Linked DNA regions of Struthio camelus. Each later gene encodes a partner of the first gene's protein in a complex. Links are inferred from orthologs where the notes say so. Each region holds a gene or a part of one and is shown on either strand. Other genes may lie near its edges.

The links.
Region 2: the proteins of NCOA5 (region 1) and ESR2 are in contact, whole or in part, in a crystal structure (PDB 4ZI1), measured with the Homo sapiens proteins. The link is inferred for Struthio camelus from reciprocal best matches to the Homo sapiens genes NCOA5 and ESR2. Residues at the interface, in NP_066018.1 of Homo sapiens: Ser344, Leu345, Ile346, Leu348, Leu349, Ala350, Asp351; in NP_001428.1 of Homo sapiens: Ile310, Lys314, Phe319, Leu324, Gln327, Val328, Leu331, Glu332, Leu490, Glu493, Met494.

The regions. Positions count from the first base shown.
Region 1 is NC_090959.1:19,461,905-19,473,275, forward strand, and holds the start of NCOA5 (nuclear receptor coactivator 5), read right to left. Parts: upstream 5,823-11,371; 5' UTR 5,676-5,822; intron 2,747-5,675; 5' UTR 2,723-2,746; coding exon 2,560-2,722; intron 2,016-2,559; coding exon 1,908-2,015; intron 1-1,907. Other genes in the region: CD40 (tumor necrosis factor receptor superfamily member 5), read left to right, coding at 8,531-8,578, 10,452-10,533, 11,056-11,181, 11,268-11,371. UniProt on the Homo sapiens protein: Nuclear receptor coregulator that can have both coactivator and corepressor functions.
Region 2 is NC_090946.1:75,453,246-75,464,601, forward strand, and holds the start of ESR2 (estrogen receptor beta), read left to right. Parts: upstream 1-6,700; 5' UTR 6,701-6,838; intron 6,839-7,208; 5' UTR 7,209-7,334; intron 7,335-11,356. Other genes in the region: MTHFD1 (C-1-tetrahydrofolate synthase, cytoplasmic), read right to left, coding at 6,471-6,511.

The DNA.
Region 1 (11,371 bases):
GCTTCTCAGGTTTAGCATTATCCTTTCTGAACTACGCATACCAGAACCAAGCACAGTATTCCAGCAGTAAAAACCCATAGATACTATAACCTCTTAGTAACAAATTTTTTTTTTTTTTGGTTCAGCTAAGGATCATAAAAGCAGTATACTGGCTTCCTGGATTTAAGTAATTATTACCTACCAATAGCTCCTTTCATGAGCTATTTTCTAGGACAAAGTCCTCCACACTAAGCACACTCTGCACTCTATTTCCCTAGATGCAGAACTTCATATTTGGCTTTACTGAAAGCTCAGTTTTGTTTGCATCCAGCTTAGGAAGAGACCCAGGTCATTTCACTATCAGTGACTCAACATACGTTATTCCATTCTCTTTTCTAAAGCTTGAATGTTGGTTTTTTTTTTCCGTTCCAAGTCACTTATAAAAATACTGCACAGCCAGGAACCAGTCCTTCTAGAATATCACTCAAAACACTGATTAATTCCATCTACATTACATTGAGGCTCATTTTAAAACCACTTAACACTATGTTGCTTGTAATTGTTTTAGTTTCTTAATCATATTGAGTATCTTGCAGAATTCTACATCGACACTGATACTTTAATCCATAAAACTTGTAGCATCATAAGAATAAACTAGTTTGACAAGATTTATTTTGACTGACGTTAATTGCATTCCCTTCTTATTGAGTGTCAGATAAAAGAATCCATTATGTTATCAAGGACTGATGTCAGGCTGACAGGCTATAGTCCGCTCAGTCCATTTACACTGCTTTACTGGCACAACTGCAGTATTTTTCCAGGTCCTTGGAAACTCCCTCATTTTCCAAGGCTTATGGAAAAACAACATTAATAGCCTAGAGAGGTCTTCATATAGCTGAACCTCATAGATGTGAGTTAAATCTAATATTTTGGAAAGGTCTAGTTTCGGTAGCTGCTGTTTTCTTCCTTTCTCAGTTTTCTACTGAAATGGAAGCTATATGAAAAAACATTCTGCCTCTTTAAAAAGAGAGAGCAGACACATTAACTGAGGACCAGGTGGTCTTCTCCACTAAGAAGTTAACGTGCAATTATTTAGAAGCGATAATACATTTGAGATAGCTGTAGTTTTTCCTATTTAAGCTTATTGTCTTATGACGCTGCCCATAATTTCTTCTTGTCTCTTTCTACCCTCCTTGTCCATTTGCCATCATTTCCTTCTTCAGGTTTATACTTGTTACTACACATAAACCTTCCCCCAACTTATTATTTACTGCGCCTTTTATTCCCTTCTAAGTCAAACTGTTACCGTAGGCTTACTTTGGGGCTAAATTTTTCGTTATGTTTAACGGATTACTCTTAAATAGATTCCTAGCCATTCATTTCTGTTTAAGTCTGCTCCCAGCAAATTTAGCAAGATTTTCATCTTTATGAGAAGAGACCTTTTAAAGCACCTAGTATTTGTAGTGTTACTCAGAAATTAATTTCACATGTGCAAAAAATCTAAGTTAAGATCATGTATCTAACAAACCCCTAAGTTCTTAGACCAGTTCCTCTGAACCTGTCAAGAGGAAGCCCAGTATTAATCTACAAGTGTTTTTAAAATAAGTGCATGAAGTTTCAGTGAATACTTTGTAGGGTTTATGTCGAACAATTTCTTACATAGGTTTATAGATGTATTAAAGTACTAATACATTAAAATAAATTGAGAGAAAGACCAAGGTAGCAAGAGAAAACAATGCAGATGGATCACACAGCACTTAGAGCAAATAACTCAGAAGGAAAATGCATTCCTAGTAAAAGTGATTTTAGAATAATGCTAGGCAGGTTTCATACAATGATCTTTCCAGAGAGCTTATAAACAAAAGCACTCTTTTTCTACCAGAACACATGCTAGGGTCAGTAGGAGAGCATGGATCAGTTTTCCTTACCTAATCTATACCCTTTAAAAAGGCGACCCTTCTCACCGTCCAGAGCGGCCTGGACGTCTTCTAGACGTTCATACTGGACGAACCCATAGCCATGGAACATGCTGAGGGCTGGAAAAATTAACAGCAGGGCAAGACCAGTTACAACTAAGGGACAGTACTATTCCACCCAGGTCATTATATAATCCCATTAGATGGACCACACAAAGGGGCATTATGCAGAAACATCTACTCAAGTTCCTCGGGAAAACCAAATCTACCGAGATCAAAGTGTAGAGTTTAAGGGATTTGAACTACCAGACAATATGACAAAACAGATCAACTTTCTTCTGACAGAACAGTGACCAAAGAAGTCTGTGAAGTGACCAAAATTTGGCTAAGAGACTATGAAATCACTTGATAGCATAGATTTGCTTGGTATAACACCACAGCTCAACCCCAAAAGACAGCTCATATATACATTAGGTTTCAGCTGTACTGAAGGGATTATGTTCTCAGAGAAAAGGCAATTAAAGAAAGTTATCTTTAAAAGGTCACTTTTTAAGGAAAATATTAGTCATTCCTCTCAACACCACCAATTAGTGTTTGACAAGCATGAATGTTATACTTCTGACTGAACTCCCAGTCACAAAAAGGCATAAGATAAAATACTAACCCCTTATTTTGCCATATTTTGAAAATATCTCTTCCATTTCTTCACGAGTCATGTGGTCTGTGGGCAAATTGCCGACAAAAAGTCTTCTCTCTAAATCCTGTGGATTGGTGCTGTTAGTGAAGTCGCTCTGTTTGATGCTATTGCTCTTGCGTCCTCGAGCCATTTTGCTTTCGTTCCAAATCCAACTCTTCGCAAAAAAGAAAAATGGCCATGCATATCATTTCAATCCATGACATTAAAATTAAACTGGAACAAGATTAAACTTAACAGCTTTGCAGACTAGAAGCCAACTGGGTCTGCTTGACGCAAGCTTCACTCCAGCGGAATCTTTATACAAGGGATACAGAAATCTGGCAAAAATGGATACTGCACCATTTTGGTTCAGCTTTTCTGTATTGTCAAAAGGCAGTAAGCCTATTCTATTTTGAAGATATGTTTTAATGATTCAGCGCCAAACTGAAATACAAATAAAACTTGTTTTCTACTGAAAAGTTTGAATTAAGATTTAATACATCCATTACTGACATATCTATTCCCTCAGTTCACTGGTAAGAAGTGTTGACACTTATGTAATATTTTAATAAGCAGAAAGGAAACTCATCTTGACAGCACATAATGGGACCCAAAATATTTCAGTATAGGCTTTGAATGAGATAAAAAAGCAGGTTTTAAAGGCTCTTAAGTGACCATACTTGGATCACTTCACCAAACCTGACGTCTTAGCTTTACAGTAACAGAAAACACAATTTCTCATTCACACCAATACTAAACAACATATCTTTGTGCCCATCAAGATGTCAACTCCTACTGAAGTCGGGTCCACAGCTGGGAATTTAGCCACAACCACATAAATGCAGTATTGTTAACTCATTCCACTAGTACTATGAAGTTTAATTTTGTTAACCTATATTATTGCAGACAAAGCTGGAGCAATCAGCAACACTCACTGCACACACCTACCGAAATAGTCTCAGCTAAGATACTCAGGATTCATACTTTCTGCTTTAAAAGCCACTATAGCATAAAACTTAGAAAGAGGAAAAAAACACTGAAACTTGCAAGCCAAACTTGCAAGACTGAAAGCTATTTAATAAAATAAGGTTGTCATCCTTTCCAAACATTCATCTACAGGAGTGCAGGGTTGAGACTGTCTGTTTATAGGGATGGAAGTAACCTGAAAAAAAGCTCATGAGGTTAAATCGAGCACATCAACAAAACTTTCTACTGTTAATCATGAGGTACTCTATAACCAGCACACTCCCTAACAATAAACTAAGTTGACTACTATTTAAAAGTAGCTTCTAAACAAGCATGTCAAACTTCTTAAATTATAAGACAATTTTACAGTGCTAATTAGCATGAGAAATAAATCTACTCCAGGATTTGAGACTAAGATCCATCAACTCTACATTCATATCACTTTTCTCCTTCTTTTAGGAAGCCCTGTGGAAAAGCAGGGGAGAGAACACCTCCCAGTCTAATTGTCTTCTTAAAAGTGAACGGAGTTGCTAAAACAGGGCGGTGGTTAAAACAAACAAACAGTTCTTATACCATAGTTGTGTCAACATCTTCCTGCAAGGCCAGTTTGTTCTCCCCTGTCATCTTTACTTTCCCCATCAGAAGTTTCAAATCTTGACCCCTTTTTCTTTACAGGGGCACTACAGCGTTTTCTTCTATTCTGCTGTTGCAGCTTAAGTTCTCATCAGTTGAGGGGAGAACAGCCTTCATATAATAAGTTAGAAGAGACCTCTGGAGGTCATCTAGTCCAACTCACACTCTAAGCCAGACCAACTTCTAAGTTAGATCCAGCTGCTCAGGACCTTGCCCAGCTGAGCTCAGAACATTTTCAAGAACAGAGATTCCACAGCCACTGTGAGCACCTCATCATAAAACATCACCCGTGTTTGCAATCTTGAGATACCATATCTACCCTAAGCACCCATCAGCAAAATGTGCAATACCTGTGGGCAGGACATTTTAATTCAGTGTCAAAAACAGTAAAAGACTCTTATCTTTTTCTTCTGGGGTGGCAATGAGAAGGGGTCGCTGGCAGAAGAGAGGGTAAGAACTTTCTATATGAGGAAAAATTGGAATATTTTCCAACTTGCTGGTGGCTTAGAAAATAAAGCAACAAATCCCAAACACTAATCCACAGCGAATTAGTAGAGGGCTTTCACCTAGAAGTATCTACTGCTACTCACCATTTCCCACCCAGTGGAACAAGTGGTTAAGGGTCATTTAATAATCATGAGAGCAGAAGTGAATGCCATCCCAGCTTTAGGCATGCTACACCAGGGAAGTTAATAATGTCACTACTAAGTCTCTTTCTAAGACTTTAATCAAAGAAGCTGAACACATAGCTAGATAGTTTAAAGACAATGATACTCCAGTGCACAAAGGGACCATCAGACCCGGCAGGTTACCACAGAAGAACAGCTACCGTTAGCTCACCTGCCAGTAAATTCCCCACAAGTTAATTAACATCATGTCTCTCTCTCTAAAACTGTAAATTTAAAAACAAAGTTTTATTTCACTAGTAGCGCTACAACTTCAGAACGCGAGACACAGTTGAAGCGGGACACCGAAACCGATTTGGCGCAACGGAAACATCATGCGCAAGTCTGTGAGAAGTTCCTGGGCAATGCCAAAAAAAGAGAGAGAGGAAAAAACACACCCAAAGCAAAAGAACAAAAAGAACAAAAACACAACGCAGGCACCAAACGCAGCGGAGAGCGAGTTTCACCTCCGCCCCGGGCCGCGGCTCACGGTGCAGCCCGGCCAGGCAGGGCGGCTCTCCCGGTGCGCGACCGGGGCAGGGGCGGGAGCCGGGCCGGACCGGGCCGCGGCGCCTCCGGCACGGCCGCAGCGCAGCGCAGCGCAGCGCAGCCGCCGCCCCCGCGGCGCCCCGGCCTCGCCCGGCGCGGCGCGGCCCGGCCGCCCGCGCTGCCTTCAGGCCCGGGCCCGGGCCGAGGCGAGACCCGCCGCGCCCCGCGGCGGCGGCGCCGAGAAGGACGCAGACGCTCCGCGAGGTTTGCTGTGGTACGTCTTTATTCGAGCACGCCGCGCCCCTCATAAAGCCGCGCCCGCCGCGGGGCCCCGCACCGCCGCGCACTTACCGCCGCGCCGGGCCCGCGCCGCCGCCCGCCGCCGCCCGCCGCCGCCCGCCAGGACAAAGGCGCCAACCGCCGCTGCCGCACGGCGCTGTCGCAACGAACGGGCGGAAACGCCGCCGGAAGGGCGCCGCCCCGCGCTTTACGGCGCGGCGCGCTGGCGGGCGGCCGCCCCGGCTCCCGGCGTGCCCCGCGGCCGCCGCGAGGCGTGACGGGAGTCGTAGTCCCGCGGCCGGCGGGGCCGGCAGCCGCCAGGCGGCGCCGCGGGAGCCCCGGCGGCTTCGGGCGGGGCGCTGCGCCCGCCCCGCCCCGCCCGCCCCCGGCCCGCCCCCGCCCCCGGCCCGCCCGCCCCTGGCCGGCCCCGCCCCTGGCCGGCCCCGCCCCGCCCGCCCCTGGCCGTCCCCGCCCCGCCCGCCCGGCCCCGGTCCCGGCCCCGGCCCCGCCCCGCCCCGCCCGCCCGCCCCCGCCCGCCCCCGGCCCCGGCTCCGGCCCCGCCGCCCGGAGCCCGGAGCGTCCCCTGCCCTCGGCTGCCGGCCGGCGGGGCCGCCGGGCGGGGGGTCTCCCCGCCGGGCCCTGCTGGCCGCGCCGGTGGCGCCGGGCTGCCCGCGGGAGCGAGGGCCCGGGGCTGCGGGGACTTCCCGGGCCGCTCCCTGCCGGCCGGCCCAGAAATCCCCGGCCGCCGCCGCCCTGCGCCCTCCTCGCTCCCCTGGGACCGCTCGGGCTTTCGAGCCCGTCAGTTTTGGGAAACGACGGCGGCGCGGGGAATCCGGGGCGCGCGGGAGCGGCGGGAGGCCGTGGGGCTGCCCTCGCCGCCCCGGCCCCGGCCCCGGTGTGGGGCCGTCGCCCCCGGCAGCCAGGCTCGGGCGCGGCTGTGCCGCCCGGCGAGGAGCCGGCGCCGGGCAGCGCGAGCGGTCGGACCAGGGCCGGACTGGCACGGGGCGACCGCGGGCCGGGCAGCTGTGTTGCTGCGGGGCTGCTGTGTGGGGCGTGACGGTCACAGTGTGGCCCTGGGGCAGGACGTGGCGGTGGGATGGGACACGGCCATGGGGGGGGATGTGGTGGTGGGATGGGACATGACTGCAGCGTAGCCATGGGATGGGAGCTGGCGGTGGGACGGGATGTGGCCACAGTGTACCTGTGGGATGGGACGTGGCAGTGGGACTGGATGTGGCCATGGGATGGGACATGGTGGTGTGATGGGACATGGCAGTGGGACAGGACATGGCGGTGTAATGGGTCATGGCCATGGGATGGGACATGGCGGTGTGATGGGTCATGGCCATGGGATGGGACATGGCCAGAGCATAGCTGTGGGACAGGACGCGGCAGTGGGACGGGACGTGGTGGTGTGATGGGACATGGCTGCAGCGAGGCGGTGGGACGGGACGTGGTGGTGTGATGGGACGTGGCCGCAGCATGGAGGTAGCATGGGACATGGCTGTGGGATGGGACATGGCTGCAGCACAGCTGCAGGGAGGCTCCGTGTGACTGCGTGTGGGGCACGGAGGGATTCAGAGAAAGCCCGTTTCCTGCCTGGCCACTCACCATGAACTGGAAACAGGAACTCTGGGAAATTCTCCAAAGCAAGGAAATGAGTCTGGAAGTTCCCTGGGGATTGCTCTGGGGAATCCTCGGCAGGGCAGACCCTGCGGCAGCACCCGGCCCCACAGCACTGCTGCCCCTTCCATGTTCGGGGCTGACGTATTTCTGGGGACTCCGTGCGGATGCCGGCCCTGTGGGGAGGGATGGGGGCCACCGTCCTGAATTACCCTTGGGAAACTGAAGTGAAACCTTGAACTTCTGCCTCCAGAATAAGTTAGCAGGGCCAGCACAAACACTTTCCTCCGCGTGGCCCACCGGTGAGTCCTGCCCTCAGCCGCGCACCCGGGCGAGGTGCGGGCGGCCCGGCAGGCACATGGAGCGGGCAGGGAGCTGGGCGCACAGCCGGGCCCGGGTCCTCACGCAGAGCCACCACGGGAGGAACCGGCGGGTCCGACCCCGGCTGCTCCCTGCTGCCCCGGGCAGGGGCGATGCCGGGCCAAGCTGCCGGGCTGGTGCCCTGCAGGGTCGGCGGCAGGATGACTGAGGCGGGTGCGCGTCCCGCTGCGCCGGTGCTGCCGCGTGCCGGCCGCGTGGCTCTCCGGGCTGGGGTGCGGGGCCAGCCGGGCACGGCGAGCCCTGCGGGGTCTGTGCCAGCGGGATTCCCCTGCCCGGGGACTCCCTGGCTGCTCTTCCGCTGCTCTGCGCGGCCAGCGGAGCCTGGCGCCGGGGCTCCCCGCCGCAGCGCCGCTCACTGAGCATCACCGGGCAGACCAGGGCTGAGGGCACGGGCGCTCCTGGGGCCCGGCGAGCCGGCACCCGCGGGACACCGAGGTGGGCAGGAGCACGAGAGCGGCGCTGGGCAGGAGGGCTCCCGTCATCTCGGTGCAGCGGGCTCTGCCGCCCCTGCCCGTCAGACCCGGGGGGACAGACCCGTCGCCCCCTGCTCTCCGCCCCGAGCAGGGCTCTGCCCTACGTTCCCGGGGGCCGGGGCTCGCCGCCCCGCGGGGACCGGCCGAGGCCGCGCGAGTGGCTCCCGTTGGTGGGACCCGCCGGGCAGCCCCGGCCGGAGCGGGCTGCACCTCCCGCCCGCGGTGCCGGCCCCTCGACGTCCCACGCCGGGGAAGTCCCCGAGGCGAGCGGCTGCCGCCTGAGCACGCCCGCCACTGCGAGGGGGCGTTGGCAGCAGCCTGCGCCAAACAGCGTGTGCTCCGCGAGCCGAGGATGGGCGGCCCTACGTCCCCTTCCTGGGCGGAAACGGGCCGAGGCGTTATTACGGACTGCTCCGCCGCCCCCGCAGCGGCTGCGGGACGCTCAACGCCATGAAGCTGCTCGGACTCCTCTGGCTCCTCTGCGCGGTGCTCTGGGGCGTAAGTGCTGCTTCCCGCCCAGGCTGCGCACCGGCGCCGGCGGCCCCTTCCCACGGCGGCCGGCCGCGGCCCGCGGGGACCGGGCCGGGGCTGGGCAGGGCCGGGCGGCTGCGCGGGGAGCGATGCCGGGCTGCCCCTGCCCGCCCGCTGCGGGGGGAGCGATGCCGGGCTGCCCCTGCCCGCCCGCTGCGGGGGGAGCGATGCCGGGCTGCCCCTGCCCGCCCGCTGCGGGGGGAGCGATGCCGGGCTGCCCCTGCCCGCCCGCTGCGGGGGGAGCGATGCCGGGCTGCCCCTGCCCGCCCGCTGCGGGGGGAGCGATGCCGGGCTGCCCCTGCCCGCCCGCTGCGGGGGGAGCGATGCCGGGCTGCCCCTGCCCGCCCGCTGCGGGGGGAGCGATGCCGGGCTGCCCCTGCCCGCCCGCTGCGGGGCAGAGCGCGCAGCGCGGGCGGCAGCGCGGGGGCCGGGACCGCGGCACGGCGTGACACCCCGGCCAGGGCCGGCCCGGCCCCGCAGGGCTTTCCAGGAAGGCAGCGCCGGCCGCGGCGCCCTCGGGCCGCCCGTCCCTGCCCCGTGGGCCGTCCCGCGGGAACGCTCCCCGCGCCGGGCCGGGAGGCGCTGGGGGTCGGGCAGGACCGGCCGAGGCCAGCGCCGCTGCCGCCGCGCTGGGAAAGCCGTAAAGGAAATCCTGGCCGGGAGCCCTGCGCCCGGCTCTCGCTTCGAGACACAAAAGTTTATTGTTCCTCATTTTTGTGGCTGGGAATTTCCCAGCAAGCGCTCAGCTTCTCGGCACCCTCCCACACGCGCTCGCCGCGCCGTGCCCCCGGGACCCCCACTGCCCGTGCCCGGCCGGTCCCCGTCCCGGCGCCGCTCTCTGCCCGGGGAGCGGGCGCCCCGACGCCCCGCGGACCCGGCGCCGCTCTGCCGCCAGCCCGGTGCTGCCCGGTCGGGGCGCAGCCGCGCTGGGCCGGGGCGCCGAGCGGCCGAGCCCCCGGCACAGGGCGCACGCAGCCCGGCACGCAAAACGGCGCGGGCCTGAGAGCCCCTTTCGGTTCCCTTTCCTGCTACGCAAGAGAAACGCAGGGTGTCGGGCTCCCTCGGGGCCGGTTTCCCTCCGCCGGCCGGGCGCCCGACGCCAAACCTCGCGGCGCCCCCAGCCCCTTTGCCTCCCTCCGCCCCTCGGCGGAGCAGCCCCACGGGACCCCCACGCCGGCCGCGGCGCCCCTTGCTCCCGGCCCTCCCCCAGCCTCGGACCCCGCGGCCCCGCCGGCCCCTCCGTCCCCTCCGCCCGGGCTGGCGCCCACCCGGCTGGGAACGGCCACCGGGCTGGGGCTGCCCCGTGCCGGGCCGGCTCCCCCGCGGGCCGCTCCACTCCCTCCCGCGGCCAGGCTGGCCCCAGGGCTGAGCCCCGGGGTCAGGGGCTGCTCCTGCCTCCCCCGCTGCCTTCCCCTGCCCGCGGGGAGCGAGGCAGGGCTCTGGCCGGCTTCGTGCCCACCAGGCGCCGGCCCAGGGCTTCGCTGCCCCTCGGAGCCGAGCGCCGGGAAGGGGCAGGGGACGCGCGGTTGGCGCTGCTGCCCCTGCCCGGGAGCGCAGGCTGTTGGCAGCGGCGGGGCGCAGAGCGCTGTGCAGTCACCACCCGTTAGGAAGTGTGGGGAAACATTGCACCGGAATTGCTGCCATCCCACTTCAAACGGCGCACTGGCGGCAGGCGGCGGCGCAGCCGGCTCGGCTGCGGTCTGTGGTTAGAGCGGCCCCGGGAAGGGGCTGCAGGACCGCCTCGCCTCGGGACGCGGGCGCAGCGCTGGCCGCCTGCGGGAGCCAGGCTCCCGGCGGGCACCGGGGAGCAGCGCGGACTCCCAGGCCTCTTCTTTTCCAGTGCTGGCAGCCTGTCGACACCGTAAAATGCTCTGAAAAGCAGTATGAGCACAAGGACAAGTGCTGCAACCGGTGCCAGCCAGGTACGGAGACCCTTCCCCTTCGGGTGAGCCCCCGAGCCCGGGCCGTGGCCGGGACCCGGGCGCCTGGTCCCCGCTTGAGCCCCGGGCCGGCTCCAGGGTGGCCAGAGCCGCCTCACCCCATCGCCGGCCGCAGCCCACAGCTTCGCTTGCGTTTCGCCTTCGTGCCAGAGCGGCTGGGGACCTCACGGGACCCTGATAGACCCTGGACCTGCCCCATCTCGCTCGCGCTGCCTGTGCTCCCGCGGCCCGCAGCACCCGGCGGCCCGGGCAGCCTGCAGGCAGAGCGCTCCCGCCGGCGCCGCACCCGCTGCCAGCTCCCTTCCCGGGCCGTTCCCCAGGCCTTGGCCCACGGAGAGCGCGGACGGCCCTCCCGGCCCTCCCGCTGTAGCCCCCGGCGCCGCCAGCCGCCGAGCCCACGGCCGGAGCAGCGCCCGGCCGGCCAGCCGCAGCCGCCAGCGCCCCCCCCGCGTCCTGCCGGCAGAGCTGTGGCGCTGCCCCCCCCACAACCAGCCTCGCTTGCAGGGAAAAAGCTGGTCTCCGAGTGCAACGGCACGGCGGAGTCCCTCTGCGACGCCTGCGAGAGCGGACACTACCAGCAGGGCTGGACCAAGGAGAGGCACTGCAACCCGCACGACATCTGCGAGGACAGTGAGTGTCCCTGCGCCCGCGGCTGCGCCGGGGCGGTCGCCCGCGTCCCGCTGGTGCCTCACCCCCGTCTTGCTCCTCCCGCCCAGACGCCGGCCTCGTGGTGAAGACGGAAGGGAACGCCACGCACAACACGGTGTGCCAGTGCCGGGCCGGCATGCACTGCTCCGACGCCAGCTGCCAGACCTGCGTG
Region 2 (11,356 bases), on another chromosome or scaffold:
CTATTTAGTGATATGGTTTGCAAAATAAGATTGTGGCTTCTAAGTCTTCAGAAAGACTAAGAATTCATATAAATTATTAACAGCATTTTTATTATCAACATGAGACACTTTTACTTTTCAAGCACAAATCTGCAATTCATTGCACATGGTCGTTCCTCCAAAAGTGTTCCTTCTGACAGTAAGCCCCTTCCTGCCCGCATGCGCTGTTCCACAAACAAGCTCACACTGCAAACAAGGGTCCAGGGTCCATCCAGGTTAAGGACAGCACACAGCTCCGAGCATACAAGGAAAAAGCCAGCTCCAAAGATTAAAGAGTCCGCTGGCCTCTTTCTCCCTAAACTGCAGCAGTCAGCTGAATTTAATTTCATTAAGTGATCTTCCTAGGACAGGATGGATCACCTTCCTCCAGCTCTGCTGTAAGCGGAGGGAGGAACATCCTGTATCCATCCCTGTACCTCTGCAAGCAGACCTTCCTGCCATTCCAATGGGATTCTGTGCATGCAATGGCTCGGATGGTTGGGGTGCGGGTATATACATCCCCAAACTGAGGACAACACCCGGCTACGTTTCCGTACCTTCCAGGGATAATAAAGCCCAGCTGTGTGAGAATACTGTTCACATATGAGTGAACAAAAGCTTCCTTTAGAGACAATGATGCTCCAGAAGATGTCTGCCTCCGAAGAGGAGGGTTTGGCCTCCTCTCCTGGATCACAGTCTTCCAACAAACGCTTCAGAGGTAGTTCAGGTGTTTCTTTTGCAGCCTCCCGCCCTGACAGGGTACACTTTTCTTCCTCAAACACACATCTCACTATTGCAGCCCATGCATTTATCAACTCTAGATTACGGTATCCGCCAGAGGACTTCGGGTTAAAACTTGACACCTCTGTCCTTTCAGGTGGCAGAGGCTGACCTCCTGGACAGTTCACTATACAACCCCAAACATGGCAGCGCATGCATCAGAAGCACTTCTGCTGCAGCCCTCCAGAAACGGCCGTGTAAGCTGAAGGGTTCTCCCTAGGCCCTCCACCACCTTGGTCACGGCTGCTGTCCCTCAGGCACACTTGCTTTTGGGGAATGACACCACTTGCACCACAGCTAGGGGACGATGAAACATGCAGTCTGATTTCCTAATGTCCTCATCCAGGCTTCTGCAGCCTGAAGCCTTCGGAGCACTGAACAGCTGGTTTGAGAGAGCAGCTGGAGTTCCTCACTGAGCTCCAGGTCATGACCTGCCAAAGTACACGCTCAGTGGCGTCTGTTACAGGTATCTCTTGTGCTCCTATGGCCGTTTCTCCCTATAGGCTGCAGCACTGCCCCTTGCTCACTTTTTTGCCACTTGGAGAGACAAGCTTCCCTTTCTGCAAACCACCATGGCACCATGTCCTAACTAGCATAGCAACTGCTTAATCTTCAAAAACTGTAAAGAACCCGTATAAGCATGATTACTCTTTCCATGCCGCAAGCCAGTGTGCCACAAAACAACCTGCTGGGAGCCCAAAGAACAGAGAAGAATCGGAATCAACAGTTACTCTGTAACTCAAGATCAGTTCACAGGAGCCTCTTCTGGGGGGATTCACAGATTGGCCGCCCCAACAGTGTGTCGCTGGGATGGAAACGCTTTGATAAAGTCTACCCAGATGCTGCTTGTAATTCAATAGACGGCTCCATTTGAAGGAAGACACTGTTCAGATGACAGAGCTGGAATCAGTTGACAAGTCTCCTGACCTCTTATCTCAGGTACCACCACCACTGCATGACCTTCTCACACTGTCGTTATCTCCCAAGAGAAGCATCTGCTTCGTTCTACCGCTCCTCCACTCCCAAGGGTTTTAACCACTCTCGTGGTTGTGTCAGCTCAAATACTTGCATGGCCACTCCTCAGGAAAAATATATGAAGATGCTTTTTATTTTTAAAATACAGGTTTTTATACCACATGCAGAACAGTCGACCAGGAAAGGCCACAAAACAGCTGACCTGAGGAAGCTATAATCCATAAGGGAAGAGATAGGCAGCATTTGAGGAACCTCTCAAATGTGGCTGGCTGCCAAAAGAACAATGGAGTTTTAAAAATTCATGCAAAGCAGAGTCTTTAACACTTACACAGAAGGGTTTGCCCCAAACCCATTGTAACACCATCAGCTGGTGGTGGACACCCATGCTGCAACGCAAATCACACCAATCAGAACCCCAAGGCTACTAGATACAACATCCAACAACTACATGATTTAATCACGGGACAAGGGTAACAGAAATAGATGAGGACCCAAACCATGTTTGTGTGGCTGCAAGTACTTGAGACCATACTCCTTATCTACGATGGTTTTTGTTGACAAAACTGGAGGTAAGATTTTCTTCTTTCCTGCCTCTAAAATGGCAGTCCCCTACACGTACTTTCCCTAACAGAAGAAGAAAAGAGCAAGAGTATTAACACTTGGCACTAGTAACCAAAGTACTAGTGGCCACAGTCAAGGCCAGCTGGAGCCTGTTTTTACAGAACAGGGAACGTTGTAATGACTGCAGATAAGTGTCACAGAGGTAACCTAAAGAACCCCCTGCCAGCAACAGAAAGCACGAATGGACCACAAGGAAATGAATAAGAGAAGTTGCAGGATTGGTTAATAGGGATTAGACTATGATTGGGGGGGGGGGGGGAGGTTGCGATTGGGTTATAAGGGGATCAATACAAGCAAGAACTTGTGGGCAAGGTCCTTCTGTGGAGGCACCCAGCTTAAGCTGTACCTTTATTACGCACAACAAACTTTTTTTTTGGTTTAGAAAAATATTCAAAGTTGAATTGGGAGAATAAGCAGAAACTGAGGGTAGAGCCAAAATGGTTGGAGGTGGCAACTGCATAACTCCTTGAAGGTGGCAACTGCATAATGGCTGCAACACTAAGGACTCTCCCTTTCCATGTAACCATCTCTCTGATGTGCAGAGATCATAGCACTGGGGCGCAGCTGCCTACTAGAAGTTTGTTTTATTTTTAAGCTTGTCACCGCTTTGGAGCAGGGTCCTTTTTTTTTTTTTATTTTGTGCTTGTACAGCATCTGATACAATGGGTTCTTGCTCATATCTGGGGCTGCTCAGTGGCATAGGACTGTACTGCACCACGCAATTCACATTAGCTTAATAAATCCAAAGCGTGGTATCTTTGATGCATGCCTGAAACCTTCTAGGTAGGATCTAGAAAGCCATATCTCACAAATATGGGAGATTTTTCAGTTCACACTAGGCTCAGTTTGAGTTTCCAAAGCAGCTCCATAAAACTGTTCAATCCCACTCTGAAAAAGCTAGGTGTTGTCTCTACTGCACTGTTACCTCCAATTATAAGTTTAGCCTGGCCATCACTTCATCTAGTACTTCTTTTACCTCAAAGCAAGCACTAGGTGACCTACCCCTCAGGGCCGGGTGGCGTGTTCAGAGTTCTCCCTGCCATCACCATTTATCAGCCACTAATCCAGACCAGGACTGCTGATCCATTCCTGGTGCTATTCACCAATTCAAGCCAAACCCAAAGCTTTCAGTGCATGGGGCGTTTTCTAAACCTAGGCTGCTTTTGGGGAAATGACTGAACACACTGCTCACTGCAGCGGACCTAAGCTGCAAGAAAGAGCTACTCCGAAGCTTTGCTCTGAGCATCTATTTCAGATACAGAAACAGAGAGGTTTTATCATAAATAAAGAAGTTTGAGCATACTGCATGTTCATTTCTCCTAACCCTCCACGTTCTGTACACTTAAAGCACTGTCCTTCTCATTTGGATTAATTCATTATTTACTGTACTGTTACACAATAACTCATCCTTTGCAACTCATTTGCTCATGAGGAAAATTGTACTTGCAGCAAAATCGAAGGCTGAATTACTGAAAAGCTACTCAGAGATATTGTGAAAAGTCACTCAGAGATAACTACCCAGCTCTCAGTACCTTTTGCAGACTGTTCAGGTATTAGAGGCTGTTTCTACTGAAAGAAACGGCCTTAGCAAGAGACGCATTAACTTAAACATCAAAATCCTGCACACACAATAGTGGCCTGCCGTCCTGCATGCTGTCCTCCCCATGCACAGCTTACAACCATATTCACTAATCTCCCAGGTAATACTTAAAAAAGCAAACAAACAAAGAAAAACTGAATACGATGATTTTCTTTGGACCTTTTCTGAGCCCTTCAAGACTTTCTATGTACAAACTAGCCTTATGTTCTCAGCGAGTTTTCCTTATTTCCCTTATGTAGGGGTCTGCTACACAGGAACAAGGAAGCACACTCTCTCTCTCTCTCTGCTTCTCTTCTTCTCTCTTTCTCTCTGTCATACACAGACACACACACAATTTTTCCCTCTCTTTAAATACGTTTCACAAAAATAAGTATGTCAGTATCTACCTGATTTTTTTTTTTTTTTAATAACTGTCATGACTCCGAATTAGGAACTTCCTTCACCTCTCTTTGTGGAAGAGGTGCTTGGTGGCAGGAGAAGACAATACACAATACTTACCAGTTCTCATTTAAAATACACAGAGAAACCTAGAATTTTGCAGCTGGTACACTGCTGATAGATTCACCTCACCTGATAATATACGACCGACTTGCAAACAACCCCTTTTATTTGGTTAGAGGATAAAGTAACAGACAAAAATACTCTACAAGATAGTCACTGAATAAGCCATTCAGTTGACTATGAAGTCAGGAATATCCTCTTTATAACAGACAATTCAGTTGAAAATTCCTAGAAAAACCACACGCCTATCATTTTTTCTATTGACAGACTCTTGGCCTGTGGGTGCATTCTGGACAGTAAGAGTTCTCTGGATCACTATTTCTCTAGAGGATCTGGAAGAAAAAGATATCTGCAGGGTATATAGTCCCTTTCCTCATACCTCCTTGACGTACTCTACTGGCAAAAAGAAGAAATACTTAAGGCCCAGTTTTTGTAGAGCACACTATGATTTTGCTATACTGGACATAACCATAGTAGGAATAAATAAACTGAAGAACAACAGTTGTACAGTTGCAACTATTTTTCCATTTCTTATGGTCTTCAGGACTGGATGCCTCTGAGATATGTTTCAGGCAAACACTTCAACATTTCATTGGAAATGACATAATCCTTTCTCCTCTATGCACGTACTAAAAGCATGTGCCTTTTCCCAGGTATTGGCACATCACAAAAGTCCTAATCTCTGAAGACAGTTGCTAACGTAATTTAGAAAATAAGCAGCAGCAGAAGTGAAATATCTCCCCATTGTATCTATAAATGTTGAGAAAAAAAAAAAAAAGACAAAACACCATACTGCCAAGGAAGCTAGAAGTTTTACAGTGAATGCTCAGGCTATCTATAAAACATACTCATCCTACCTAAGTTGCTACCTTTCCTGATTTCTAGCCAGGCTAAAATTGCAATAACATGTACCTTGCGAGTGCCTACTGCACTTCAAGAGCAATTTCTATGCCAGAAGAAGCAAATCTGCAGAAGGCAAATCACTAAGCTCTACCAGTACCAGACACAGGGCAGGCAGGATTCACTGGCTTCAAGACTTCCCAGAAGCACGATGGTCCAACGAAGCACACAAGCCAGAGACGAAGCACACAAGCCAGAGACGGAAGTACCCAAGCCATCATTCTAGTAATTGGCTCAACAATTACAGGGTGAAAAAACACGTGAGCAGCCTTTAATCACGGATATTCAGATTCCAAACAGTTTAGGCCTAGTTTTTAGGAATGCTCCGCTGTCAGTCGGGGGTAGATGTGTTGTTCTCAGCAACGCCTAAAAGCAAGCCCTCCTTAACATTGTCCATGTTTTAAACATTGTCCGCGGATTAACTTATCTTGATTCAAAAAGGTGTGACCCACGCTTGCATAATATGAAAACAGAGACCTATCGAAACAAGTTCCCGACTCCTGCCCATAAAGGATCCTTAAAGCGCTGCACAAATACCTAAGGCTAGAAATCACTTCGCCGTTTCACCTCGCCGCAGGCCATCATCCATGCAGGCGCCCACCTCCGCGCCCAGGAGGATGCTGAGCCACCCCAAGGCCTTCCCCGGGGCGGGGGCTGCCGGGTGCCACAGAAAACCAAGCGGACGAGATAGGCCGAGCTTCTTCGGGGCCGGCGTGACAGCGTTTCAAACATTCCTGAAGATCCTCAAGAACACTACTGCTTCTCTCTAGGCTGCTTAATAACACCCACCGCTCCCCGCCAGGCAGCCCGCGCTGACCGCAGCGCACACCCTCGGCCGAGGCCTCCGCGGCCCCCTCCGCGGCCAGCGCCCGGGACCCCCGGCCCCGACCCGGGGCAACCGGCGCCTCCGGGCGGCTCCTTCTCCCTGACACACGGGTTTCCTCCACAAGCACCGCTCTCCCGAAGGAGAAGGGAAAACTCCCTCCGCACGCTGGCGGCGAGGGCAGCCCCGGCCTCTCCCTCCCCTCCCCGGGGCGCTGCGGCGGCTCTCGCAGCCCGTCGCCCCGCTACGTACGCGGAGACTATCTTGCCGCTGAGGATCTCGGCGGGGGCCATGGTGAGGGCGACGGCCGAGCGCGGCGGGGATCCCGGAGCGACTGCGGGCAGCGCTGGCCCCGCCGCGGCCCTACTCCGCGCCCCACGTGGCCACCAACTTTCGGCGCGGCCGCGCAAGCACCGCCCGCGGGGCGGCAGTACCGCCGTGCCGTGCCGTGCCCCTTCCCCTCCCCTTCCCCTTCCTTTCCTCTTCCCTTCCCCCTTCTCCTCCCTTCCTCGCCCCGCCGCCGTGAGGCGCCGGCCCGGCCGCCTCCCGCCGCTGGGCTGAGGAGCGCGGGCTCTGAGGCGCCGCGAAATGGCGGCCGCGCCGCGCTGCGCGCCCCTGCTGTGAGGAGAAGGGGCCTGGGCGGGACGTGGGGGCCGCAGGCGCTGTGAGAGGAGCGGGGAGGGTGGAAAAGCAGCCTCTGCCTCCGCTCGGGCGTTTCAACGCGTTTGTCCGGCAGAAGGTCACCCAGCTCGTCTAATCGGCACAGAAAGAGGGTAGCGGAGAGGGGGGTTTTGGCCCTAAGGTTCAGTGAGGTCTTTGCGGGTGGTAGAAATGAGCTCCCAGTGGCCTCTTCCGAGGGACGTGCCTGCAGTAAGTTATCCCCTTGGGACCGAGGAACATGTAGTTACCCATCCAGCTGGCTGCTCAGATGTGTGTGCTTCTCCATGCCTGCTGTTACTTCTATAACCAGTGCTTTTCCTTATTCTGCAGGTTAGTACAGACATTTTAGGACCTTGCTGAGAGAATGAACTTTCAGTGGTTTTCTCAAGCACACAGCAAACGTGTGGTGATGGTCAAGCCAGAGCTGGAGACGCGAAAAGCAGTCACATGTCACAGGTGAGGCAGGCTTGCCCAGGCAAAGTGAAGTCAGGACCCAGAGAAGTTGAGGAGCCCATCAGTTTTTACCACTAAGATCTAGCACACGGTCAGAGAAGGGGCCAGTATGCAAGAAACCCCGGCTAACAAGGTCAGGGACAGGGAACTCGCAAAGTGCCCCCCCGTAACTTAGATTTTTGCTTCATATAGGGCTTGGAAAAAGGAAGTTCATTCAGTCCTGCTGCAAGGTAATCATTTCACAAGTGGGTTTGGGAACTGTCAGGTTTTGAGAAGGGAGAAGTACAAGCCTCTCAGGCTCCCTCTGGGACACAAAGCTCTGAGATACACGTATGGGTCCTTCAGCCACAGAAGCTTTAGGATTGCTTGTCTGGGATTCTAGGAGGGGAATAAAATCCATACATAGTTCAAAACTTGTCTGAGGGTAAGGCTTTTCTCCTTTGATTTCCGTCCTTCCATAGCTATGGCTCTTTTGCCTTCCTCCCCCCCCCCCCCCCAGCTTTCATTTTAGCGAGGAGAGAACTCGCTGTCTGTTGAGCAGTCAAAGCATCTTAAGTTAACAATATGTTGCAATTATAAGACCAGAGGTTAGAAATTTCTCTTTAAAAGTGACATGGAAAAGAGGTAAAATTTTGCATTTTGGAGCTTTTATATGCTAAATAGAAAAAGCTAGAAAGAACTTCTTTCATTATATATTCCCTTTATTTCCCGGAGCATTCCAACAGTTGTAAAATTATACACTTAAAACTGAGATTAGACAATTAACTGAGAGAAGGGATTTTTTTCCTAGGCTGCTTAAAATTCTGTGCTTCGTTTGTTTTTGCTGTTGCCTTTATCTGAGCCCTGAATGAACTTTCGGGGGAAAAAAACCTATGTTTTTAGAAGAATTCAGAAGACACACTCCTTTGGTTCAGGACAGCAACAGCTTACAAAAACAAGCTTTGCCAACCAAGATTTGACACTTACAGTGCAAAAATATCAGGCAGGAGAAGAAAAAGAAGAAATCCATCTCGTTCGGATGACCTGATTTGCACAGTGAGCAGAAGCTGGTGCCATCAGGAGCTCTGGTTTCCTACCCAGAGTGGCTAGCTTGCATGATTTGTGTGTGCGTGTGTTTGTGAGTCTTATAGCATATGCTAGTTTTCTCAGTGTTCCAGCTCTTGAAAAAATGTGTTCAGGAGAAATTTTAGATAAAAAGGTAATTTTTTAGCTCTCACGGTGGCAGATAAAATTTTGAAAATGACCTGAATGTATTGTCTAAAAAATGAGAAGGGAAGTAAAAATAACCCTAAACAACTTCTTTTTCTTATTTCATGATTTTTAAGCCAGACTCATTTTTGGGAATGAATTTTAAATGCTTATGCCAGAAAATCAGACTTACTAAACTGCTTTTTATCATAGGAGAAATATCTTTTGTATTCCTAAATTTTCTCATTAGTCAGGCACGAAAGCTCAGATTGCTGCTCAGAAGTTGTGGGTGTCATGCCTTTATGTAAGAACACCTTCTTTAATGTTTAATCTTGATTGTCATCCTGAGGTCAAAATACTAGGAATGGGATGGGACCCTCCCCATGGAAGAGGGATTGGGTGATGAGAAATGGCTGAACAGACCCCTCTGCTCAATTCATGTCAAAGCTGTATCCAGCTCATAAATGGCAGCAGAAAATTTGGGGCTACTATCATGTAAAGGAAATCGCAAGGAAGCACAGTGGCAAAGGAGACAAATGTTGTGAAAATATGTAAAAAGTCGAGAGCGATGATCACTGTTTTATGCTTTGAATACACTTCTTTTGACCATGTTAACACAAAAGGGTGAGGAAAAAACCAAAAACCTAATGCCATGATAAGAACGGAGAGCTCTGAGTGGTCTGTGTTGTACCAAAGCAGACTTATCCTCTAAAGGCTGTTTGTTAGGATGAAGAAGGATAAAAGCAGCCGCTTCAGGGGAACGTGAAGCTGCAGGATTTCTGAGATGTCTCTGCTCTGAGCGCTGCCCCAGGACAGTTGTTCTACTTCCCTCACCTCCCAGGCATCCTTGGGTTTGCAGCTCCCACAGTATGACTGTTTACCTTTACATCCACCCCCCTCTTACCTAACATGTCAAAAGTCATGAAGGTTGCTCTTTAAAAAAACCATGAAGCCTGCAGAATCCACGCCAGAAAGACTCTCTGTTACTGGTGAGCTAACAGCTGAGCCTGTGATTGCACAGAGCCCCAGAAGGTGCAATTTGTTCTGAGGAACTGACCTTTTATCAGCAAACTAAGGAAGAACGTTAGAGTGTGCTTTACCCACCAAGTAGAACAGTTAGGACAGGGCATCTTTCTATCCCAGCTTGCTCACTTCCAATAAAGGAGGAGGAACAGAAAAGTAATTAGCTTCATGAACCTGGGTAAGAAAAAAGATTTGGAGAAAGTCTATTTGCTAGAGCATGCTTCAGAAAAACAGTATTAGACTTTGATTCTTCAAACACTTCTGGGGAACCTTTCCAGCTCGGAGATGTCACACTGAGCAAAGCAGGATTGGTTAAATGAATGAAGTTACTCAATGTTAGAATAGGTTAGAACATAGCTTACCTCCTGTGACGTTGAACACAGCTTAGTAGTGGGGTAACAGTGATACATTTGAAAACGTGCTATTGGTCAACTCTCGCTTTGGTCAGATGACGGAACTTTGATGCAAGGCTTGAGATTGACCTCAGTGTACACCCTTTGAAATAGACCTCATTGCTATGCTGTGTTTAATATAATATTAGCTAATGTGAGCTAACATTTGTTCCGTCACAAAGTGTTTCCTAAGGATTATTATCCCCTGATTTGTTGAGCTATCTCAGGTTCCCCTTCCTTCTAAGTGGATACCTCACAAAATGTAGCAAGTTGGTGATGCAGTGTATTGCCAGACAGTCACTGCAGAAATGGCTGTCCTGAGTTGAGGTGCTGCTTGATCTCTGGCTACCTACTGATGCCTTCTGCTGAGGGTTTCTGGTCTTATGCCTGAACTGGCAGAACAGGGACTTGGAATGCTTGTCATCAACTTCAATGCAAAGGCAGCTAGATAAGTCAAATCACTTCCACTGTAGGTAGTTTTACCTACAGTGAATTGATTAGCTATAAAGCAGGTACTTACATTGTAGATTTCTCTGGCAGGGATGTAGAGCTGTTTTTTTTTTTTGTTTCTTTTTTTTTTGGTTGCTCTTTTAGCTAACCTCCTTTAGATACATCACCTTACCTTCATACAGAAATCTTCCAACGCTTCTCATTGAGCTCTCAGGAATCCTTGCAGAAGAAAGATGTCTTGTTAACCCTTTGAAGAATTTTGTGTCGCACTTGATTCCTTTGGGAACTGCCACAGCGCTTTGTAAATTTGGGCCCTAGGTTGTCCTGACTCTTTGGAGTTACGAGATTATTCACAGTAAACAAATCATTTTCTAAGTAGTCCTCTCTCTCACGTAATAACCATTCCTAATATTTCTACAGCATGCTGTGGCACTCCATGCAGTAAACAAACAGCCTAATTTACTATCCAAGCCCCCTTCTGAGTAAAGTATTACCACGTTTTCCAGATAAGGTAGCTGAAAAAGAAAGATTAAGTGATTGCCTAAAGCCAAATAAAAAACACAAGCAATGTTCTTGAAATTAACTGGCTTGTCATTTCCAATTCCACCTTATTTTTTATGGCTAATAACTTTTAGTGGCTTGTGGCTACATAGGACTTCCCTTTCTTTTTTCCAACAGCAGAATTTCGCAAGAAGACTATGAAAAATACATTCCTAATATTACTTTTCTGTAGAAGTAACTGCTATACCAGTTCCACCTTTCTATCTATGTAGCAATTGTAGCTGCTACACAGACACATGCAAGGGATAGGCAGAGAGAAAGGTGAGTTTCAGGACTGAAGGTAGGAGGAAGATGTCCAGAAGATAATCTGTCTATTACGACTTAATATGCACAACCTCGCAGATAATTCTCCCAGCCGAAGAGCGGACATTCTTGGCAGAGCAAGGTAGCGTCACTCTGCTACCTCTGCAA